Linked DNA regions of Alligator mississippiensis. The protein of the gene in region 1 purifies or fractionates together with the protein of each later gene. This does not show direct contact. Links are inferred from orthologs where the notes say so. Each region holds a gene or a part of one and is shown on either strand. Other genes may lie near its edges.

Evidence for each region. The genes of interacting proteins can lie anywhere in the genome.
Region 2: the proteins of OGT (region 1) and DIDO1 purify together in Homo sapiens (affinity purification with mass spectrometry; 3 studies listed by BioGRID and IntAct, with this or other methods). This does not show direct contact. The link is inferred for Alligator mississippiensis from reciprocal best matches to the Homo sapiens genes OGT and DIDO1.
Region 3: the proteins of OGT (region 1) and SETD1A purify together in Homo sapiens (affinity purification with mass spectrometry; 4 studies listed by BioGRID and IntAct, with this or other methods). This does not show direct contact. The link is inferred for Alligator mississippiensis from reciprocal best matches to the Homo sapiens genes OGT and SETD1A.

Annotation. Positions count from the first base shown.
Region 1 is NC_081831.1:83,415,902-83,424,208, forward strand, and holds the start of OGT (UDP-N-acetylglucosamine--peptide N-acetylglucosaminyltransferase 110 kDa subunit), read left to right. Parts: upstream 1-5,030; 5' UTR 5,031-5,102; coding exon 5,103-5,139; intron 5,140-8,307. Other genes in the region: TAF1 (transcription initiation factor TFIID subunit 1), read left to right, coding at 729-827, 1,117-1,270, 1,784-1,961, 3,578-3,806. UniProt on the Homo sapiens protein: Catalyzes the transfer of a single N-acetylglucosamine from UDP-GlcNAc to a serine or threonine residue in cytoplasmic and nuclear proteins resulting in their modification with a beta-linked N-acetylglucosamine (O-GlcNAc).
Region 2 is NC_081832.1:4,709,489-4,717,137, forward strand, and holds the start of DIDO1 (death-inducer obliterator 1), read left to right. Parts: upstream 1-4,326; 5' UTR 4,327-4,409; intron 4,410-7,649. UniProt on the Homo sapiens protein: Putative transcription factor, weakly pro-apoptotic when overexpressed. Tumor suppressor. Required for early embryonic stem cell development.
Region 3 is NC_081830.1:483,000-491,274, reverse strand, and holds the start of SETD1A (histone-lysine N-methyltransferase SETD1A), read left to right. Parts: upstream 1-4,952; 5' UTR 4,953-5,284; intron 5,285-5,379; exon of another isoform or gene 5,380-5,510; intron 5,511-6,338; 5' UTR 6,339-6,412; intron 6,413-6,921; 5' UTR 6,922-6,936; coding exon 6,937-7,074; intron 7,075-7,348; coding exon 7,349-7,447; intron 7,448-7,628; coding exon 7,629-7,899; intron 7,900-8,275. Other genes in the region: zinc finger protein 850, read right to left, coding at 1-1,271. UniProt on the Homo sapiens protein: Histone methyltransferase that catalyzes methyl group transfer from S-adenosyl-L-methionine to the epsilon-amino group of 'Lys-4' of histone H3 (H3K4) via a non-processive mechanism.

The DNA.
Region 1 (8,307 bases):
ATTTAAAAGACGACAATGGGGGAAGCAGTGGGGATTAAGGATCACAATGCATTTCCAAATTAGCTATGGTGACGCTGGGAGCAAGTTTTGCTAGGTTTTTTGTTTTTGTTGGTTCCCTCCCCCCCAATTAGAGGCTAAAGATGGAGCGAGGGAGGATGAAGAGGAGGATAAATTTAATGGAAAAACCTGGGTATGAAGGGGGAAGAGGGCATTGAGGAGAAAGAAAGAGAGGGCAAATGACAAGAGCAGAAAGAGTGAGAATAGCAACAGAGCAACTGATGGAACAGGCAAGGAAGAAAGTTCAGTGCAGAATGTAGTATCGCTCGTATCTGGGGTTCTAAAATGCCTCCTAGTAAGCAGTATCTGCACCTCTGGGGACAGAATCTGTGCATGTTTTCCCATGCATGTGGCTGTGGCTGTAAGCTGCTGAACCAGCCTACTGACTTTGAGGAAACGAGGCCCAACCACAAGTTCTCCTAGGACAAATTGCCCATCCTGTAATAGCTAGGAAGTAGAGAGGAATGCCTGCCTCGCTTTCTTGTGACCTCCTTAGAGAAGAGTGTAGCAGAAGCATCCAGGAAACAGATTTGGTTAGGTCTTGAAGTTCTTAGGAAAAAGAGTCCCTGTTCCCAGGGTATACTTCTATTGTGGTCTGGATGTCAGTCAGACTCTTTCTTCTGACACTAGTGCCTCCCTCAATGGTGTTGCTATTTGTGTTCCTCATTCAGATGCGCCAGGGACGAGGTAGGCTGGGCGAGGAAGACTCTGACGTAGATATTGAAGGGTTTGATGAGGATGATGATGGGAAACCTAAGACTCCAGCCCCAGTGAGTATATTTACAGAAATCCCATCTGTAGTCCACTTTGTTGATCTGCATCCTCATAGTAGAAGACTCCATAGTGCAGGGCAAGTCTGCTGGGTCTGGCACCTGAGTGACAACAGAATTCACAGCAGTGATTAATGAGATTTATCTGTGGTCATGAAACAGTCAGCATAAAAACAAATGACTGAATGTATTGTTCATTAATTGTGTCAATTAGTAAGCATGTACCGGCTCTGGCAGTAGCTTATGTGATTTTTTTTGACCTGTGCCATTCCTGTTGTGTGTGACACAGGAAGTTGAAGATGCAGATGGTGACCTTGCTGATGAAGAAGAAGGCTCAGCCCAGCAGCCTCAGGCCAGTGTTCTGTATGAAGATCTGCTCATGTCAGATGGAGAAGATGATGATGATGATGGGAGTGACGAAGAAGGCGATAATCCTTTCTCATGTATGTTAGGGTCTTGACGTCAAAGGTCTGAGCAGGAAATGGCTGTTCCCATCCCAGCCAACCTCCCATGTCCTTTGATCACTGTAGCATATATTCTGGCCTGGGATAGTAGATATTCAGGGTACTGAGGTGACAGAGACCAGATGTTTACAGCCCAGTTACCTACTAGATAACGACAGCAAGCAGCAAGTTGCATGAATTTTGGGTGTAAGCCAAGATGAAGTGGAGTAGAAGTGAAATGTGTGGACTCAGGAAACAGAAGCTTAGGCAGGATCTGACGTTTCTGATTGATAGGGGAGCTCTGAAGGATGGAAGGGAAAAGACTGAGGCTCAGGTCGGTTACTGGGGTCACGTGGAGCTGGACTGGGCCAATGGTGTAATGAAAACACAAGTGATTTAGATGGGAAACAGGACTTTTTCTTGCTGTTGAAGCTTTTGGCTGTTAAAACGGGACTGAGAATTAGGTCATTAAAAAGAGGTCAAAAGTAATCGGCAAGTCTCTTTGTTGCACAGCTATCCAGCTAAGTGAGAGTGGCAGCGATTCGGACGTGGAGTCCAATGCAGTGAGGCCCAAGCAGCCTCACGTCCTTCAAGAGAACACACGTATGGGCATGGACAATGAAGAAAGTATGATGTCCTATGAGGGAGATACTGGGGAGACATCTCATGTGATGGAGGACAGTAATATCAGGTAATCAAAGCTGAGCTGTAAAAAAAAACCCAAACAAACCACTATCTGCTGGAGAACTAATTTATTCCAATCATAAAATCATAGAACTAAATTGTTCCTCTGTTACTTTTTTTTAAGGTAGTGGTTCTCAACTTTTTTTGGACTAGGGCCCATTTGTAAACATCAATGGCCAGTCTGGACCCAGTGCCCCTCACTCCCAACCCTGCCCCCCCAGTGTGTGGGGTGCATGGAGGGCCCCAAGCAGTCCCTTGCAGGCTGGAACTCTGCCAGCCTGCAAAGGAAAAGCCATGGTTTCCCATGTTTTTTCTCCTTTAAAGGAGAATCCATTTTTCAAGTTGGTTCATTCATTTTTAAAGTTTGTTCATGACCCTTTCATATGTTCTTGCGACCCACAGGTTGAGAAACACCGTTCTAAGGCACTTACCTTATGCCCCTACTAGGAGAGCACTGTAGAGAAGACCAGATCATGGTGGGGTTTAACTCTTTAATAAAAGAATAACCACTTTGTTACTCTTTTATTAAATTAAAATTATTCTTAAAATTTTATTAATGTTCTCGTTGCTGTGAACTTGGTTCTGCTGTAGGTACCTCACCAAATTTAAAAAAACCCAAACCCCACTAATTACATAGAAAAGAAAAAACGTGGTAACGCAAGGTCAAATGATTCGTAGCTTTAACATTCTACTTTTGTGTACCGCCTGGCCTCTGCCAGACGCGCAGGTAAAGGTGCAGTAGGATCCAGTGCACAATCCACACAATTGCACTTCCTGCTATGCCACACATGCCATCACACCTTATTGCTGGTGCAGAGGGAGCCCAGGATCATGATCCCAGGCTTTCCCTGCCCCAGCAAGTAGCAAGTGTAACGTGTGGCGAGGGCCTCTGTTAAAGAGCAAAAAACTCACTCATGTGGACAGTCTTCGACAATATTAAATGCTATTATTGTGGAAAGAGTTGATTTTTAGGAGATGAATTTTAGGTCCTCAGATTCTGTTTAACTTAATGCTTTTTCCCTTTAAAGGACAAACAGGTAAAGGCAATACGAATGTCAAAAGAGAGGAAGTGTACACAGTGCATCTTTTGATAGCAGTTCATTTGCCTGAAAATCGGATGCATGGTGTATAGAAGATTGCCCCTTGTAGACCCCATGTTCTTTGTCTTGGCTTGGCTTTCTTCTAGCCCAGCAGTCAGCAAACTTTTTAGGCTTCAGGCTGCAATGACCCAGCTTGGGTCGGAGGTGGGTGGGTGCTAGAAGCAGTAGCAGCGGTTGGATCTGCTACCAAATACCACCAAAGCCCCACATCCATGGGCCAGATCAAGTGGTTTCACGGGCTGGGCCCAGCCCATGGGCCATAGGTTGCTGCTTCTTCCTCTAGCTGTTCTGTGGAGTTGTGAGGCTGGGTGCTGTTCTTCTCATCATGCTGTTCAGGGAGCAGGAAGGGAGGGATTCCTAGAGAGCAAAAGTTCTTACACTGGGAATTTTTTTACTAGTAGAGAAAATGAGACCTGTTCTTGTATGGGCCTTTTTGCCTTTGCCATTGGGGTCCAGGGAAGAGTGTCAGTGTAAATGAACAGTCAGAAACATTAATGTAGTAAGATTTCATTTTTTCTTTCAGTTATGGCAGCTATGAGGAACCAGATCCCAAGTCCAACACACGAGATACCAGTTTTAGCAGCATTGGAGGGTATGAAGTCTCGGAGGAAGAGGAGGAGGAGGAAGAGGAGGAGGAAGAACAGCGTTGTGGGCCCAGTGTGCTAAGCCAGGTTCATCTGTCTGAGGATGAGGAGGACAGTGAGGAATTTCATTCCATTGCAGGAGACAGTGACCTGGACTCGGATGAATAAGCTTCCCAGACATCCTCTGTTGCTACGGCATGTGTGCACTCGTGGTTCACAGGGGTCCTGTGTGCCCTTTCAGACTCACGGACAATGCAGTCTGGGATGCGCGTTTGAAGCACCTGTTTTTTCTTGGATAGAACTTCTATTTTAATGAGAAGTCTGTTAACTACGTGAAATAATGTACAATAGTAATCTAAACTGTGAATGCCAAGCTTTGGGAAAAGTCCCCTCCTGACATCGCTGAACAGCTGTGCTGGTCATCAGTTACAGGAGTCAGCTCGAGAATCCCATGTTCTGGCTTGTGCCTCCTCGTTCTTTCCAGAGACAAAACATCCTTACAGATATTAGTGAGTGAGCTGGAAATTTAGTTTTTGGTGCGGTTTGTTTAATCGGCCTTTACACACTGTCAAAAAATAAATGTCTGAAAGTATCCTGTAAAAGAAATGTGAGTAAACTTTTGTTAAAAAAGATACATGCATGGCCCGTGTATCTTTGCAGAACTGTGGGCAGACTCCGGGAGCTGTGCTTTTCTCCAGTGTTGTATGTCAGATCAGGTCTCTTCTGAACTTCCTTGCTCGAGGGGTTGCTGTGCCTGGAGTTGCTTAACTGCCAACCTCCCTCTTCCTCCGTGGAGCGGAGAAACCCCCCGCAGGGGGCACCACGTGACGGGACAAGGAGTAATGTGGCAGAAGGGAAAAACGTTCTTGCCCGGCGGGGGGCGAAGCAGTGGGCCAGGTCAGACGGGGGCCGGGTCTCCATCCCTGAGGCGTTTGGGACCCGACCCAGAGGACGCGGCTGGGGCTGGTTCTGCTCTGTCCAGGTGCGGGCCCAGCGGCGCTGGGGGCCCGAGCAGAGCCGCCCGGCCCAGGAGCTCGTGCCGCCCCACTCGTGAGCGGGGCCGAGAGAAGGGTAAGGGGTGCTCCCAGCAGGCCCCGCGCGGCAGTGACGCACCCGGATGTGGCCGCGGGCGCCATGTGCGGAAGGGCGGCGCATGCGCGCTGGGGCCGGGATGTCGCAATGGGCAGGCGGAAGGACACCATAACAAAGTGCTGCCGCCCCTGAGGCCTCGCGCTGCCCGCTCGGCCCTGCCCGTGGGATACCGGCGTGGCAAAGGCGTCCAGGCTTGTCCGGCGGGAATTGGGCCGCTGCTGCGCGGGACGCTGCGTGCAGCCGGTGCTGTGTCCTGCTGGACTACTTTGTGTGCCGAGCTAGATCCGGCCGAGCTGCGCGGACTCGTCCCTCCGCGGCCGCCATTTCGCACCGCGCGGAGCGCTGCAGCCGGAGCCGCCGGACCCCCTCGCCATGGCGACCTCCGTGGGCAGCGTGGCCGACAGCACAGGTACGGCCGAGCGCCGCGCCTTGCCGGGCCGGGCCGGGCCGGGCCGAGCCGAGCGTCCGCCCCGCCCCGCCCCGCGCTTCCCGGGGCCCGGCCGGAGCTCGCGGAACTTTCCAGAAGGCGCCGAGGGGTCGCGGCCTGGCCCCGCGCCGCCGCCTCGGGCCCGGGGCCCGCGCCCTCCGCCTCCCCCGCGGTCCCCGTGTACTCGGCCCGGCGGCGGGGTCGTGCTGGCCCCGGGACCGCCCCAGGCCGCGGCGCTTGCTTTGGCCGGCGAGGGCGGGCCGGGGCCGGGGCCGGGCGAGCCTTGCCGCCTCGTGTGCCACGGCTCGGGGCAGCGCCGCGCGCTTGGCTCCCCTCCCCACCTCACGAGCGCTGTTCCAGCAGCGGCGCTGCCCCGGGCGAGGCGGCCGCCCGCAGAGGATCGGCGCGCAGGGGCGGGCCGGGCGCTGGCCGGGCGTGGAGGTCTTCGTTCTCTGGATCTGGCCTCATTGTGCCTTCTTATTTTTGCAAGGGACTCAACAAAGTCAGTCCTGAGGGAACGTTTCATCTGTTCTTTACTAAAAAAACCCCCTTTCCTTCACAGATAAAAATAGAGCATCTTTACTTTCTTTCCATATATCTGTTACTGTCTTCCTATTCCATTTTTCATCTTAACATTGCACTTGACTTTTCAGGTTAAGTATTATAAGGCGATGCTTATTTCTTACCCGAATAGCGTGTATGGCCAGTCATCTGGCAGGTTGATACGCTGTTAGCTTATATCGAGAGAGATACTGAACGAGGAAGATGGCTTATTTTGCATCGGCTTCATTTTCTTTGTGGTTTTGCATCTTCAGCAGTGGGGGACTGCTTAATAAGAGAACTTTAAATAACATACTGGATACCAGCCGTCTAAAGGATGACATCTGGGCCAGCGGTAGCCAGGAGAGAGAAGACTGAGGAACGTTATTATGACAGTGATTTAGCGAGCCGTCATTCCCCTCTCAGCTTGAGGTCCTAAGAATGGTGATCCTTCTCGGGAAATCTGGCCTTCATCAGGGCCTGCAGCGAGTAGATCTGATAGGAAATGGTGTTACACTTGCCCTTAGTTTTTGGTTTTTTCTGGTATAGTTTCAGGCCCATCCTCTTCTCAATGTTTTCCCAAGCTGTGCAGACTTCACCGTACCTGTAGTTTGGCAAAGCATGAACAGTAGGAGATGTGCTGGAGTTGTCCTCAATTTAGTCTCGGAAAAATAAAGAGTTCAGTTTATCTCCATGTATGAACTAGAAAGCTCATTTTAATACAGGTAAACAAAGACCATCAGTTTGAAATAGTTGATTATAAATGAATAAATGGCTTCAGATACTACTATGCCTGATGCCCTTTGCAATGCCCGGCCTCCACACACTGTCCACTTCAAAGTGTGTCCTATTTGTATGTGAAGAGCTGCACACATGCAGGGGAAATGAACTTTCTGGAATTTCTGTAGTACATAAATGCTTTGCTGGAATACCCCGTGTTGAGGTCTCTTATATTGTAGAGGATTTTCCAGCGTTATATTCATGCCTTGAAACAACAGCCAAGTTAGGATAGGAATGTTTATTGGGGTAACTGAAACAGAAATGCCAAAAGTAAACAGCAGAAATAAAAATGTTGTCTAAACTTTTGTTTCCTATAATCTTAAAGCAAAAGTCCAGAGGTAAGGGAAGAGGCTGGGGACCTGGATGAAAACGTAGTAAGGGGAAGCAATTACAGAAGCTGTAGCAATGTTGGGGGGGGTGGAGATAGGATAGACGGGTACCAGAAATATTCATATGCCAATGTGAGAAGTATGGGAGCAAACAGGAAGTGTTTGAGGTCCTAGTACAAACACAGAATTAAGATGTAATTGGGATTATGGAGATGTGGTGGGATAGTTCACAAGACTGGAATACTGTCATGGTTGAGTATCAGTTGTTCAGGAAGGACCGGTGAGGGAAGAAAGGAGGTGTTGCTGTATACGTAGAGAAGACGTGCATGTCTCTGGAAATGCGGCCCAAACTGGAAGGGAGGTTGCCAGTCTTTGGATGAAGGTCACAATACAGCTGCAGGGTGAGATGTCATGGTGGGTGTTGGTTACAGGCCTCCAAAACCAGGAGGTTCCAAATTGCAGGACTTGTTTCTCATGGGCACTCTAAATTGTTGGTATCTCTGCTGGGAGGGAAGCACAGCAGTGCATTAGCAGTCCATCAAATTGCTGCAGTTTTGGGGATAACTTTTTGATACAGGTAGTAAAGGGGCCAGCTAGGGGAAGCTGTTCTTGACTTGCTGCTCACAAACAGAGGAATTGGTTGAGAATGTGAAGGTGGAAGGTAACTTTGGTGACAGCATCCATGAAATGATGGATTTAAAGGATCCTAAGTGGAGGAAGGAAGGAGAGCAGCAGAACAAGGACACTGGAGTTTAACAGGAACTGGTGAACAGGATCCCCTGGGAAGCAAGTCTAAGGAGAAAAGAAGTCGAGAGCTGGCTGTACTTCAAGGAGGCCCTTAAGGGCCTGAGAGCAAGCGATCCCAATGCGATGGAAGAATGGGATGTGAAACAGGAAACCAGCCTGACTAGACTACACTCTCTTCTCTGAGTTTAACTCGAAAAGGAATCCTGTAAGAAGTGCAAACTTGGTTGTAGTACTAGGAAAGCGTATAACAGTACTACTTATACCAACTGCATCCCAAATTGTGCCTCGCAGGCTTGCGGGGAGAAAATTAGGAAGGCTGAGGCACAATTTGGGATGCAAGCTGGCAAGGGATATAAAAGGCAGTAAAAAGTGTGTCCAAAGTAAGAGGAAGACTGGAGAAATCATAGGTCCCTTACAGAAAGCAGAAGGCAGTCTAGCTGTGGAGGATGTAGAGAAGGCTGAAGTATTTAATGCCTTTTTTACTTCAGTCTTTACAGATAGGGGCAGCTATCAAATGATGAGTACCGTTGGCAACAGGTAAGGAAGGAGGTAAACAGCCTAAAGCAGGGGTGGGCAAATCTGGCCTGCGGTGGACTCCATTTCCCAGCAGCCCCGTGCAATGGCAGCTGCTGGTTGCCACTGCCAAACCCAGCCCATCCTTCCCACCTCCACTGCTGGGATGGGACTCGTGCAGCTGGGAATGGGGCTGTGGCCAGGAGTGAGATGGGCAAGCAGAGGCAGGGAGAGCATGGGA
Region 2 (7,649 bases), on another chromosome or scaffold:
AAGCCTTAAAATGCTAACCTGTAACTGTGGGGTTAGATGGGACTGCATGGAAACAAGCCCAGTGCTTGTGTTCTGGAGGCTACTTCAAATTGACTATGTACTTCCCACCTGGAAAGCAAGAAATTGGACCTAATGATATTATCCATGTCTCTCCATTTACTTGCATCCTTCAGAAACCTGAGATCTGTAAGGCGAGTCATTAGTCTTTTATTAATTCAAACAGCTGGGACCTTGAAGGGACTTGAGTAATGTAATCCATTTCAAAGTGCTGGAAGAACGCAGTGCGGTATGAAAAATTTTAGCCTTTTTGTGAATTTGGTCCAGCAAAAGGAAATGTCTAACTTTTTTTTACTAAGCCTCCCTGCGCATTAGTGGCACTGGGTATTAAAAGAGGCACATGGGGTCAAATAGAGCCAAAAGAAATAACATCCCTGAAAAAATCTATTAAAATCCTTGTTAAACACCACATGTAGTGAGTAGATTTGCTAAAATTCCTTGTTGATTTTTCCACCCCCCAAAAAAAACAAAGCTGTTTTGCTTACATGAAAAGCATTACAATGAGCATAAAATATTTTGTGTGTGTGTGACTCTAGTGCTTGTGAAACGTGGTGATTCAAGTCTAGGTCTTGGATAATCCAATGCTGGAAAAACTTGCAGAGTCTCATATTCATGAGAGGTGTTGGACTGATTATCTGCAGAGAAAAAGAACTTTGCCCACAGAACAGGTAAAGAACGAATATAATATGTGCTATCCCAGTGTCCCCACGATCTATTTAGCAAAGTACAGAGAGGAACCATCTATCAGACACCCCTCAGAGATGAGCTTGTTCCTTCTCCATTACTGTTGTCCCCAGCCTCTGCCTGACTTCCCAACAGCCAAATGCCTTTCCAGAGCCTGCTGTAATGCTCCCCTGCCAGGAGAGACAGGGAGGTGTTGAGCCTAACTCCCTGTTTCAGGGCTCCAGAATTATAGGAACACCAAAAATATGGGGCTATTTTGGTGGGGGAAAAAATGGACTTGCATGATCACATTACCATTTCTTCCTTTCAGTGCACCTGCTGCCCAGAGCTGAAAGTGCCGTTCATAGGAGTAAGCAGAGTGAAAGGTCCACGCCTGTTGTTGGTAACTGTGCTATAACAGTAGGTAAAAGTCAAAGCCTCATTGCTCTAGACTCTGTACAAATGCAAGGGTCTGGAGAACAAAAGCAGGTGGGGACTTCCTTCATGTCAGCTGCTCTGTTGGATTTGGATGCATTTTGGATCCATTGGATTTGCAACCATTTGGATGCAGCTCTTGCCCTTCAGTAAGCAAAAGCTAAATTGTGGTCGCTCGGCCCCATTTCATTGAGGTAAGCTGTCCCAACCATGCTATTAGTCCAAGAAAACGCATCACCCCAAAAATCTGCCTCTTACTCCAGTTTAGCTTTTGCTCACTGGGGAGTGAGAGCAGGGACTCGAACAGATATTGCAGAGCAGCTGATGTGCAGTAAGTACCAGCCCCCTTTTTAACTTGCTCTGAGTTGTTACTTAGGTTGTGTCCATTTGAGTACGCACCATTGCCAAGAGTCTGTATTTTAGAAGATGAATGCTCTAGACAGAGACAAGACAAGGCAAGGAGCTGATAAACTGTCACAGCCCATCAGGGTACGTGTCTACTGCCTCCAGTGATTCCATACCTGTTGCCAAGAAGCAAGCCTTGCCTACTTATTCCAACTGCTCAAGAGTCACTTGCCAGAACACTTTGTATAGTTGCTTTTTGGCATGTGCTCAGGACCTCAGGCTGTGGCATGCTCCTGAGAGTACCTGGCTCTCTTATGACAGTATGGGATTAGGAGTGAGCGGACAAGTCTTGCTTCTCTGTCAGTGAAGGCTAGATCGAGGTACCCTTGGTTGCCTAATAATCAGCGAACTCCTTTTGTAGGCATCAGGTTGGTTGCAAACATAACTGGCTTGAATATAAATAAAGCATCTGCTAAATTCAGTGGGTGTGACAAATGAACAGCAATACATTGAAGGGGCACTAGTAGGTGAATAATGTAATTGAAATGCAATTACTAGAAGGGCATAAGGTTTTCGGTATGGCATGAATTGTTTTGTAGTAGTCTTCTATGGGATGCCCATCTTTAATTTCTTGCTATGCAAGCTACCTATCCATAAAATGCTGAATTGGTATAGTTCATGCTTCATTCCAGGGTTTATATTGTAGCTAAATTTGGTTTAATAAAGCTTTTTAGTGTTTTTTTTTTTTTCTTCTCCCAAATAAGACTTGGTTTACTAAAGCTGTTTCTAGCTATACTCAGAATTTAAATGCTGCTCTCTGCTTCTAATGTCTTGTATTTTTGTACAGGGATCTTCAAGACCTTAAAAATCATTCATGAATTAAACCTAACAACACCCTGGAGACAGGTAAGTATTACCATGTTGTTTTCCAGGTGGAGAAACAGGATGATTTACCATAGTTAACATCATGCAAGGAAGTTATTGGTCGACAGGAAAAGTTGGAGCTCCTGCTTTTCTAACATTCAGTCCTGGGTTTTTACCACCACAGCAAGTTCCTTTTGAGCATTGCTTAAAGTGGGCATTTTTACAATGTCAGTGCAGAGCATGCGTTTCATATTCCTAAAGAGTTCTGATCTGTTTTCAGCCCTTAAAATCTGTTAAGTTCTGCATGTGCATGGAACCCACTGAAATCACTGGGGTGCTCTGCGTCGGCCCACTCCCATGAAGTAGCTTGCAAAAATAAGACCTTGCTGGATTTATCGGACGTTGTGTATTGACGTGTGGCCGGGACTTGCATTGCCTGATGGCTATTCATACTCTGGTGGCTTCTGACTGGCTGCAAAACATCAGTGGTTGGAATTGCTAATACCGCCAACATTGCCCCTAAGAATAAAGAACGCTGGCAATCGGAACCAACTCCCCGCTAGAAAAGCCTCGTCTGTTAATGGCAGAGTTCATTTATTTATTATTCGAGCTGTATTTTTAGGTTATTTTTAACTGTGCATTTGGGTGATAAGTTAGCCCTGGGTCCAATTAGCCTTGAACTGGGATGCCTCTGCAAAGAAGAACTAGTGCTGGACCCAGGGAGAGCTGCAGCGGGGATTGCTCCATCCTTGGAAGTGCAGGGGCAGGTACATCAGGCTGGAAACCAGGTAACAAGAAAAGAAACAAGGTTGTTAGTTGTAGCCGTGTTGGTCTAAGGACATAAGTAGACCAGGGTCTTTGGGTTAATGTGAGATCTTTTATTAGACCAACTAAATAGCTGGTAAAATTGTTCTTTGCAAGCTTTCAGGCTCAAACACCCTTCTTCGGGCAAATAAATGAAAAGAAATAAGGGATGGATTTGGTAGCTGTGTTGGTCTGAGACTAAAAGAAATGCAAAACTCTAAAAATCTTGGTTTAGAGATGATACCTTTTTATGAGACCAACTGAGCAACTGCAAAAATAAATAAATAAATAAATAAGTAAAATTCCAAGTAAATAAAGTATATAAATAACTTATTTATATGTATTCAAGTTAACGTGAATTTAAATATTTAAATTCATATTAAATATAATTATATATAATTCTCTATAACCATAAATAAATTATATGAATTATTTACATTTAAGTTAATATGAATTTAAATACAATGATCTATAAATATAAATAAATTATATAAATATAAATAAATTACCTATATAAGTTGCATTTAAATTAAATAGATTTAAATATATAAATTCAATTTAAATTGTATATAACCAGCTGAGAAACTGCAAAAAAATATATTAAATATCAAATTTTATATGAATTATATTATATTTAATTTATATTATATAAACTAATATATATTAATTGTGTGGGGGGTTGGTTTTTTGGGTGTTTTTTTTTTTGCAGTTTCTCAGTTGGTCTAACAAAAGGTATCATCTCTGAACCAAGAGTTGCGTTTCTGAAAAGAAATAAAAGCATCAAGTCAAGAGCCACCCATCACGCCATGCGGCTGGCTGCCAGCTGCTGCTTCCCTGCCCTGCTACCGTAATGCCTTACCGTAATCGAAGTGTAGAAGCGCCCTAGAAGGAGCTGGCGGGAAGCGAAGATTGCGGCCTGCTCCCGCCTCCTCCTTGGAGCTGCCCAATGGGGGAGCGCGCTCTCGCGCCCCCTGGCGGCCGGCCCCGCACTCCCGCGCCCAGCGCTGCGGCGGGTGGCAGGAGGCAGCCTGCAGCCCCGCTCCCGCGAGTCCTCCACGAGCAGCGTGCCACGGAGAGAGCGGCGCGGCGGGCGGTGGACGCTCTAGCCCGCCGCGGCCGCCATGTCAGTCTCGCTGGTAGCGGCCCCCGCCCTGCGCTGAGGAGGAAATGGCGGCTGGGCTCGGCTGAGACCTGCGGCGGCGGCTGGATTCGCCCCCGTCCCCCCCACGCCCTCCGCACGGGTGAGTGCGGGAGGCAGCGGGGGAGGGAGGAGGGGGAGAGCCGCGGGGGGGGGCGCTCGGAGGCGACGCGGGCGAGGCGGCGACTGCGGCCTAGGCCTGGAGGATCGGCGAGAAAATGGAGGCGGGCGGGCGAGTCGGGGTAGGCCGCGCGGCCTGGGGACGGGGACGGGCCCCTCCAGGACGGAGTCACAATCCCGCTGACGTCATGGCGCTCCGTGACGTCACGCCCCGTCTCCCCCTCTTTTTGTCCCGCGCAACGGCCGCCAACGGGCTGGGTACGGGGGGGGGGGGCTCAGCGGCATGCGGCCTCGGGCACGGCTGGGTGGTGTTTACAGTGGGGGACGGGGAGGGGGGAGATGTAGGCTTCCCCCTCCCCAGGGGCCGCTCATTTTTGGGGTCTCCTAGGCAGACCAGGGTCTCTGGGTAAATGCAATTTTTTTTTGTTATTTATCAATTCAGTGGTGGGGGTGGGGGGGATTAATCCCCGGGAAGTGTTTGGGCACTATGCCCTTCTTCAGTTGCAGGGAGAGCCCGCGAGTCCTCCTGGGGGGGGGGTTGTAACCGCATCGGGCTAAGGACATAGGTAAGGACAGGGTCCTTTGGAGTAAATCCGATATCTTTGTATAGACCAGCTCCAATCGCTGGACAAAATAAAAAAAAAAAAATCTTTGCGAGCTTTCGGGTGTAAAGACACCTCGGTGGTCTGAATGTAAACGAGCAATTCGGAGCGCTTCGGATCAGCGGAGCGACGCTGAGAGCTGTAACTATTAACGCTTTCTCGGACAAGCCCGAAACAGCCAAATCCATCAGGATCCGGGGACTCGCAAAGGAGAGACGGAGTTTGCAACGAAAAGGTGCAAACACGTCCCTGAGGTATTTTATTACCTGAAAGCTTGCTGAGAATTTTTCCGACTCAAATAGTTGGGGAAATTCTTCTTTGCGAGCTTCCGGGTATAAATAAATCCCTGGGGTATTTATACCTGGAAGCTCGCAAAGAAGAATTTTCCCAACTGTTTGAGTAACTCCTCCTATGCCTCCCGTCAGATTGAACTGGCATCGCTTGAAGATGAAAAGCGTCCTGTAGCATTCAAAGGACGTTTTATTTACTTATTTTTTTGCAAGCTGAGAGTCGTTTCTGTAACGCCGGGGATAGCGCGCTCTTTCCTTGGGGGTTCTGCCTGCGTTCTCTTGGCTTTGAAGTATTTCTTTGTGGGAGGTGGGAGGAGAGCTGCCCTCCTTTTGGCATCACCTTTTTCACTGCAAGATTTTTTGTCTCCATGATTCCCCAGATCCTGATGGATTTAGTTGTCTTTTGCTTTTCCAAGAAAACCTTAATAGTTATAGCTTTTACCGCTTAAATCAACAATGGTTCTGTTGATCTGAATTGCTTGTTTGCATTTGACCACCAAATTGTGTCATTTATTTATTTTTAAAAGGACGTTGTCCTTTATTGCCTGTTTTAGGAACAGGTCATGTAAGCAGTCACTTGAACTAGTTTGCGCTACGCAACATCTCCAATTATGTTTTTTAGTTTCTTGACTTCCTTGCAAATTAATTAGCTGTATAAACAGTTGAACTGTTGAGGAAAAATATAAAGCTGAAAAAATGCATGTAGTTATAAATGGAGGGTTGTATGCCAACTGTAGTAGCTGTTATAGGTCATGTTAAAAAATTTGATCATGTAAAAGAGTAGTAAGAGACTGACCATTGGATCTTCCTGTAAGATCTTGTTTAACAAATTTGCTGGTATGCTCAAAACACCTTTTTGGGCTTAGTCTTTTAGGTGGTTTTTGTTTTGTTTTTGTTTTTTGAGAGTTTAGAAATGCACTGCATTGAAAAGGGCTTTCCTTCATTTTTGCTCCAAACTGAAAGTTTTTGTTAACCTTCAAATAACCTAATTATTTGTCAAAAGCCATGTAATGGACTTGGAAGAGAGCAGGATTAGAGCTTTGAATCCTTTTTTCAGAAAAGTGTTTAAGGTTTTGAAGTATAGAGGGACACAGAAGAAGCAAAGTATTCTGCCTTGGCAAACAGATTTACTTTGGTTTGTCATGAAGTTTAAATTTCAGAATGTAGACCCTGATCTGCCAGTTTTTAAGATGTAGTTAATATGTAAATAATATGATGATTATTTCACACTTTTTAAATCTTCAAATAATACAGATGGGGGTGAGACAATGTCTTGTCTCGTGAGTTCCTTTTGCTTTAAACAAAAGTAATGCAAGTGAAGCAGTTTGAGTCCAAAGCGTTACATAAGGACTTAGAGCTTGCAGGTCTTAATTTTAATAAAAAGCTAAAGGAAGTTATGGGAGAACTTTCCAGAGGAATGACTGTTTACTCTTCCTATCGTACGCTCTTTATATTCTCCCTCTTTTTTTTTTTTTCAGTTAAGTATTACAAGCTTTCACCACAATTTCTGAAACTTTTTTTCTCTTTTTGGCTGGGGGCAGGGACAGGCAGAGGCTTTCTTTCTTTAATTCTAGCTAGGCTTGACTGACCTCCTTCCTCTTCTCCCCCAGTAAAATTTCCAACTAATACATGCAGTGGTGGCAAAGGTAGTGTTAGGTTACTGGTGGCTTTCTTCACTAACACTTCCACTGTTTTACCACTAGTAGAACAGTAAGGAGGAATTTAAAGGGAAGGGATCTAATGTAGGTGAGGCTTGTCTGACTTCCAGTATAACGCTATCTGGGTAGCTGTTTGTGTGTCTTTTGGAGTCCCTGACCTCAATTAGTAATGGTTGAAATCTAGTATCAGATACTATGTCAGGTTACATGTAATATCTGTTCAGCAGTAAATATAAACTCAGTGGGCACGTCTACACATTTATTAATGCACTTTTAATAATGCACATTAATTTAGTACATCATATTAATGTGCATTAAGCTGTGCTGATGATCAGTAGCACAAGCACATGCTTTTTTAGTGATGCTTAATGCACAGTAGCTTATTCACTGAATTTTCCTCATTTGCTATAGATTTAATTATGATTATTATTATTACTGTTATTAATGCCATTTATCAGTAGTAATATTATTATTATTATTATTGGAGTCTAGCAGTATCTAGCAGTTGGATTCCTGGGTTCATAAATTTAAATAGAGAATTCCTGCTGTATTAAGGTTACTGAATGACATTCAGGTGCAGATTAGGTAATTTGCTGATAGTAATACTTTATGAAGAAAACAGGATTTCCGTGTTGTTTATTTATCAGACTTTAACCACGCTTCTGGTTTTTTA
Region 3 (8,275 bases), on another chromosome or scaffold:
TCGGCGCAGGCAAAGGGGCGCTCGCCAGTGTGCACGCGCCGATGGTTGGCCAGGTTGGAGCGGCGGTTGAAGGCCTTGCCGCAGTCTGCACACGGGTACGGGCGCTCGCCTGTGTGCGTGACCTGGTGCTGCAGGAGGGTGGAGCTGAGGCCAAAGCGGCGCCCGCAGTCGGCGCAGGCGTAGGGCCGCTCACCTGTGTGCACGCGCCGGTGCTGCGCCAGGTTGGAGGCACGGGAGAAGCGCTTGCCACAGTCGGCGCACGGGTATGGCCGCTCGCCCGTGTGCACACGCTGGTGCTGCAGGAAGGTGGAGCCCCGGGCGAAGCGGCGCCCGCAGGCCCCACACACGTAGGGCCTCTCGCCCGTGTGCGTGCGGGCATGCTGTGCCAGCGTGGAGGCCGCCGCAAAGGCTTTCCCGCACTCTCCACACTGGTGCGGGCGGGAGGGGGGCGGCGGTGGGAAGCGGGCTGGGCCCTCATGCAAGGCGGCGGCGGCGGGAAAATCCGGTGCTAGGCCCTCGTGCAAGGTGGGGAAATGCAGCTTGTCCTCGTGCGAGGCAGCAGGGAACTCCAATGCATCTCCCTTGTGCGAGGCAGGGTCGATATCCAGCTGGTTGTGGCCCTCCTGTGAAGCATTGTGAAAAGCCAGCTTGCTACTGCGGTCCTCCTGCAAGGTAGTGTAGTACTCCAGTGGCAGGTCCTCGTGCGAAGCATCGTAGAAATCCAGCTTAGTTCGGCCCTTGTGCAAGGCGCCGGGGAAAACCAGCTCGTCGCTGTCCTTGTGCGAGGTGTGGTGGGGAGGTAGGTCATCGTCCTCGGGCGAGGCACTGCCGGGACTTGGTTGGTTATTTTCCTTGTACGAGGCAGCATGGACAGCCAGCTGGGGGATGCCCTCGTGCGAGGGGGTGCGGAAAGCGAGCGGGCAGCACTCGCTGTGCAAGCCGGGGCACTGTCTGCCTTCGTGCGAGGAGGTGTGGAAAGCGAGCTGACTGTTGTGGCCCTCGTGTGAGGCAGCGTCACACCCCAGCTCTCCGTGACCCACGTGCAAGGCCGGGGGTGACGAAGGGTTGTCGTTGCTGTGGTGCAAGCCCCACCCACTGGCATCGTTGTGCGAGGGCCCTGTTTCTGCATCCTCGCCACTGCCTCTTGCACCCTGCTCGTGCGTTGCACGGGGCGGGCTCCAGTCCTCGTCCGACCAGCACTGGATGTCGCAGGAGATGTCGGGGGCGGGGCTGGGCGGGGCCCCGGGGGGGGAGGGGCTGAGCTGGCTCATGGCGCTGCCCTGTGGGGGGGGCGGGGGGAGGAAAAGGCAGGGGATTAGTGGGGGGTGGATGCCTGGGGCCCCGTAGGTGTGTGTACTCGCACACCTGTCCTGGACACCTGCGTGTGTGTGTGTGTTTGTACATGTGTCTGGGTGCCTGGGTTCCGTGTGTGTGTGTGTGTGTGTGTGTGTCCTGGACACCTGGGTGCGTGTGTGTGTTTGCACATGTGTTTGGGTGCCTGGGTTCCCTGTGTGTGTGTGTGTGTGTAAACCCCTGGCTTGTCCCGTTTGCCCCCAACCCCCTCCCCCCCACCGTGTGCCACCCCCCCCCCGGCGCTCACCGAGTGTGCAAGAGCCCGAGCAGGCAGGCGAGTGGCGGGGGGCTGCGCAGGCGCAGAGCAGGAGGGGGCGGGGTCAGGCGAGGCCCCGCCCCTACTTCCTCCGGCAGAGCGGCCCGGCGTGGAGGGGGCGGGGCACGCGCGCGCGCAGGGGTGTGTGTGTGTGTGTGGGGGGGGGGACACGTGCACGCAGCACCCACGTGTGCAGGACACGGCCACGCGCAAACCGCCGGGCTCGTCCGTGGTTTACTACAGAAACAGGGACGTGGTCTCCGCCATTGGCAGCGTTGGTGTTCACGTGAGCGTGCGCATCCTGGCCGTCATCACCCTTAGTGACGTCATCCGCGCTGCCCACGTTATTGCCTGCATCATCATCATCACTAACAGCAGCAGCAGCTTCGTCATCGATCCAAATAGCGTACAAGGCGGGGCGGGGCGGGGCGGGGCGGGGCGGGAGCGCAGCGCGCGTTACTGCTAGTACTGCTGCGGGCGGGGGCGGGGGCGGGGCCTTTGCTGGGGCGGGGTTACTCACATCACCGATAGCGTGACGCGTCTTGCCCTTGCTCTTGCTCTGTGGCTGCAAATGACAGCCCTAGTGCTAGCAGCGACCACGGAGCAAGGCAGCGAGGACAGCAACATGGGCCCTGGTTATTCTGCCGGCTGCTACAAGAGCCGTGGTTGTCGCAACGACAGCACGGTCGTTATTATCACGCGCAGATAATACGAGCGAGCGTGGCGCTGGTGGCGGCCGTCCCACGCGTCAAGTCATGTTACTTGACGACGCCGAGGCCGATAACATCACCGACGTGTCCTACCGTCACGGTAGCATTTTGTTGCTGCTACCACAAACCACATCCTCAGTAATACTGGCATTATTTGTATTACCTATATTTCAATGCAACTATAAGTCATTGCCCGGCACTTATTGTTATGCCATTCGGAAGTGTCAGACTGAAAAATCACTCTTCGCCCCGTACGGTGCAATGCTCTTCTAACGACGGGTTTTTCATCGCTCTTGCAGACTCGGGGCCTCTGATTATCCTTGACCAGATCCTGACAAACTTTTGAATTCTTATTGCTCCATAAAGTGGTTAGCAGGGATCCTTTCATCCCAGATGAAAAAAGGAAAATCCCCTATTTTCAGTTCAGAAAAAGCAGCCCCAAATCCACATTTTTCTATGAGTAAAATGAAACACCACTAATATTAATTAGTTGCTGAATTATTATTATTCTATTCTGCCCGCTACGAGCCGGCGGCAGGAAGATCACCAGAAAGTCAGGATCCTGAATGACATTAATATCTGAAAATTGCCAGCAGTGATGCCAATAAAGGCCGGGGGGATCATTGGGTTAAAATATGACCTCTGCTTTTATTCTCACTTGTTCTGTTTTCTTCCGATCGTTTTAAGTGCACCGGTCTCAATACCGACGCTCTGCGCGGCAGGGTTGGAAGGCGTTCGTTATCGAAGTTGGGGCTCAATTTTCAGTGCTCTCAGCGCGTCGCAAACGCTCCGGGCCTCCTCATCTCCCTGCCCGTGCTGTCAGCAATAACTTCCATACATTTGAATAACGAGTGGCCATTGACTACCACTTGGTGGCTTTCAAGGCCTAACGAAGTTCCATTGCTCATTATCACCTCGTCTGTGGTACAAGCAATCATCCATTGGAATAATGACAGGCCACTTCTAATGGCTTTGGGAGTCACAATATTCGCCTGCCGCGTCTCCCGCAGGCACTATGCAATCCCTCCCCACCCCCGCAGGAAAGCAGCTGCAGGCAATTTTGGTGCGCATTACAGAGGGGAAATATGGTAAGAGCTCTTTCTGCTCATTATAGGCTGTTAGGCAGACAGACTCAGGATTCACATTCTTTCAAGGCGTGTCCTGCATTCCAGGGGTGTGTTGTATCCTAGAAAATACGGTAGTATTAACCCCGAAAAGCCTCGTTTGCTTGCTATTAGCATGTATTTGAATACATTTGCATACATCTTGACCGTCTCGCGGTCACAAGTTCGCTCTGGTTCTGGTCTTTTGAATAGCTCTTGCTCATTAAGAGACCGTCCTTTCTTATTAGGATTTATGTGACTCCCCCTGAATAATTCAGGGTCATCGAGGGGGTCAGAGACTGCAGTTTTGGCATCAGCACATTCGACACACTGTCCCCACATAATCAAATATGCAAATAGAGGCCTAATTGAGGTCTGGAGACATTTCTCGTTCTTCCAACCGTAAAGGGACAATTGTATTTCACTCTGTGAGGGAAGTGTGGCTTTATCCCCCTTCCGGCAGCTTTGAATTAGCAGTAGCAGATTCAAGGGCCAAGAGTTAACTCTTCCGAAAGCAATCCCCTTCCTCTTTGGCCTCAAAATTGACTTGTTTCTGGAGGGGTTCATTAATGACCTAGTCATTGGTTAACTATTTAATTCTCTGCTGGCGAAAGTGCAGCGAGTGAATAGAAAGAGTACCTTTTTGGGGCCTAGCTGAGATTCCCCGGGCAGCTGATTCGCTCTTAATTATTTTCCTCCTTATAAAAATGGGGCGCGGGGGGGGGGGGAGGGACACTCAAATGGGTGGGGGTTCATTCGTCATTTCCTTTCCTCAGGGTCATGGCGAAAGTGCGAGGTGCGAATAATTAACCTGTTCCTTTGTCCCAGCCTGAGGTTTCGCTCGTCGCTGATTCGTCCCACGAGCTGACCCCGCCTTTGTTCCCACCCAATCCATTTCCTGAGTCATTAAAGGGTTGATTTGCATCGCTCCGCGTCGTATTCAGATTTATGCAAATGAGCGTTCATTTAGATACACGTGTGGCGAAAGTACCGAAGCCGGACAACGTAATGGCTTCCCCAAGCTGCGGTTTCACCCTCCGCCGATTCGTCCCTCCCCGTTTCCAACGCTTTAAAAACCCGGCTTGGGCCTGGCTGGGCCTATCTCGACTTCATTTTGGTTGGACGTCATAGCTTATTTGCATATATGTAAATAGAGAGCGAGGCGAGGACGTGGCGAAAGTGCGACCGACCAACAGTGCCCTCAGTTCCACCCCCGTTTCACTCCCTCCCTCCAAGCACCCCCGCCCATCTGGAGTCGGGCGCTAGCTCCGGGTTAGCCGCTGCAGATTCGCTCTCCCTCGTGGCGGGGGCCGAAATCGGTGGGAAATAGGGTTACTTAATTAGAATAAATAATTAACGATTTATTAGGGGCGGAGCAGGGTGCAGAATAAGCGGGAGGGCGGGTAACGAAAGTGCGGAGACGAATACCCAACCCTCGCCATCCTTGTCACTCACCATCCCGCTTCGGGGCCGGGCGCTAGCTGCGGGTTGGCCGCTGCAGATTCGTCCCTGCTCAATAAGAAGCGGGGCGAAATAGGGTCTAAATTAGCATCGGGTAATTAAAATGAATAATTAGCTATTAACTGGAGAGTCGAAGCGTGACGAAATAGCCGGAAGGGGCGGACGACGAAAGCGTGGAGGCGGACCCCCTCCTTCCCCTGCTGATTCGCTGGCACCGATTCGCCTCGCCCTGAGGCCACCCGGGGAGAGGCGGGGGTTAAATAAATACATAAATAAATAAACAAGGAAAAAAAGCTTGTTGTTCGAGCTCGAATGCGGATTTATTTCTATTTTATTTCTTTTATTATACTTTTTAACGCCGTGTCGAAAGTGCCGCACATCGGGAAGGACCGTGTGTACTTGTAAGTGTGGGGGGGAGATGTCGCGAGAGCTCGCCGGGCGCGCGCGAGACGTCCGGCGCGGGGCCCCGCCCACCCGCTCCTCTCCTCCCCCCTCCCCCCGTCTCCGGCGGCCGCGGCGGACAGCGGGGCTGGCAGCGCCCCCCTCCCGCCCCGCCCCCCTCCCCCCTCCTGCCCCCCTCGTGCGCCTGCGCGGAAGGGAGGGGGGCAGCCGCGCGCGGGGAGTGAGGTGAGTGGGGGGCGGGGAGCCGGCGTTCGAACGGCCGTTGGCGGGAGGGGGCGGGGCCAGGGTGGCCGTTAACGGCCGCGCGGGGGGGGCGGGGCTGAGCGGGGGAAGGGGCGGGGCCGCGGCAGAGGGGGGGTCCTGGGGGGAGGGGCCAGGGGGATGAGGGGTGTTGGGGCGGGGGTGGGGAGGGGGTTTCTGAGGGAAGAAGGGGGGTAGGGGGCCGTAGTAGGGGTCGGGGGGGGGGTTGGGGGAGACATGGAGGGGATCTGGGGTTGTCTGGAGTTGCTGAGGGGGTAGTGGGGGGATCTGAGGTGGAAAGCAGGGTGATGAGGGGGAAAGGGGGGCCCAGGGGTGAGCGAGATGATGAGGGAAGGGGGGTGCTAAGGGGGAGAGGGGGCTGGTAGGAGGTGGGGGGGGCTTCAGAGGAGAAATTTGGGGGGCAGGGGGCTGCTGGGGGAAAAGGGGGGGCTTTGGGGTCTGAGGGGGTTGCTGAGGGGAGTCCCAGGGGTAGGTAGGATGAGGAGGTGGTTTCTGAAAAGAAAAGGGGTGTCCTGGGGGCTGGGGGGTTCCTGAGCAGAAACGGGGGCTGTGTGGGGCAGGGCAGGTGCCAGGGGGGCCGTGAAAGGGGCTGTACGGACAAGGGGTCCTGGCATGGGCGGGGCGGGGAGGGGCTTCCGAGACGGAAAGGGGTCTGGTGGGCGCGGGAGGGGGGTCTGGGGAGACAAGGGGGTCCCTGGGGGCAAGGATCCCTGGGTGCACCCCCCCCTCTCCCCCAGGTCTCCAGGTTCCCCCCTATTGCTGCCCAGGCCCTCACCCTCCTCTCCCGCACAGGCCCCGGGGCACCGGGCACGGCATGGATTGAGCGAGCGCCCGCCGCCTCCCCACGCCCCACAGCACTCCAGCAGGTGCGTGCGCGGGCGCCCGCCGGGCACCTGGGTTCTGCATGCCGGGCAGGGTCCTGCCCCAGGGGGTTAGGGCTGCGTGTGTCCCGGACGCCTGGGTCCTGCACGCGCATGTGCACTGGGGGGGAGGGGGGGGAGAGCAGGGACGCCTGGGTTCTCCGTGCATGCAAGTGTCTCGGACGCCTGGGTCCTGCACATACGTGTGTGCAAGTGGGCTGCACACCTGGGCTCTGTACATGTGCGTGCAAGCGCCCTGCATGCCTGGGTTCTGCATATGTATGTGTGCATACACTTGCAAGTTGCCTGCACGCCTGGGTTTTGTGCACGCATATGTGTGTGCATGCATTTGCAAGTGCCCTGGACACCTGAGTTCTGTGGGTGCATGCGTGCGATCCTCGCCCAGCCCCTCCAGCAGGGGGCATTTACCCCCTTGCCCATGGGGCATTTATCCCCTACCCCTGCATGGCATTTATCCCAACATGGGCATAATCTCCCTCCTCTGCCCCCTGCAGGGTAAATGAGTCAGAATGGACCAGGAGGGCGGGGGTGACTTCCCGAGAGCCCCCAATGTCCCATGGCGCAGCTACAAGCTGCTGGTGGACCCCGCGCTGCGCCGTGCCCCCCAGAAGATCTACCGTTATGATGGCGTCCACTTCAGCGCCCCCGTGAGTCTGCCTTGCTGGGGGGGCAATTAATGCTCCCGTTCAAGGAGGGGTCTCTGGGGTTGTACCCCCCCCCAATTTTATCAGATCTGGGGGAGTGGGGAGTTCTGGGAGGGGGGTGAGAGCAGGGGGAGCTGGGAGCCTGGACGCCTGGGTTCTCTGGGCTGGTGGGGGGTGGGAGCCAGAACCCAGGCATCTGAGCTCCGGATCCTTCCTCTCCTCCCCACTTGAGGCCAAGGGAGTCCCGAACCCCATCGCTAACTGTTGTCTCCCTCAGGATGCGCGGTATGCCCCCGTGGATGAGGTGCGGGACCCCCGGCACCGCCGCATCTGGGCTAAGCACCGTGACCTCTCACTGCCCGTGCCCAAGTTCAAGGTGAGTCGTTGTCCACCCCATCCCCCCTGCCAATCAGTGCCTACCTCCCAGCCCTCCTCAATGCAGGGTAGAGCAAGGGAGTGTAACCTCTGCTGTCGGCATCCCTGGGTGGGCTCTCCGGGGTGCAGCCGGCTCTGGGGAGGCAAAGTCGGCCGAGCGTAACGCCGCTCCATGCCTGCAGCTGGACGAGTTCTACGTGGGGCAGATCCCACTGAAAGAGGTGACCTTCGCCCGCCTCAACGACAACATCAAGGAGCCCTTCCTGGCTGAGATGTGCCGCAAGTACGGTGAGGTGGAGGAGATCGAGATCCTCTACCACCCCAAGACCCGCAAACACCTGGGCCTGGCCAAGGTGCTCTTTGCTAGCACGCGCGGTGCCAAGGACACCGTCAAGAACCTGCACAACACCTCTGTCATGGGCAACCTCATCCATGCCCAGCTCGACATCAAAGGTACCTGCCCGCCTGGTACCACGGCCCCCCTGCCCCAGCTAAAACGTGTGGGGACCCCGGTATCCTACCTCTGTCCTGCTCCAGGACCGCTGTGCCCAGTCTTGGGAGCATGGAGACTCGAGTGCCCTACCAATACCCAGTCTCAGGGTGTGGGGACCCTGGTGCCCTATCCATGCCATGTCTCAGGGGTGCAGGGACTTCGGTGTCCTACCCCTGCCTTCCTCCAGGACCCCTGTGCCCAGTCTCAGGGGCATGGGGACCTTGGTGTCCTATCCATGCTATGCTCTAGGACCCTTGTGCCTGGTCTCGGGGGGCATGGGGACCTTGGTGTCCTCCCCATGCCCAGTTGGGAGTGCAGGGCCCTCAGTGTCCTACC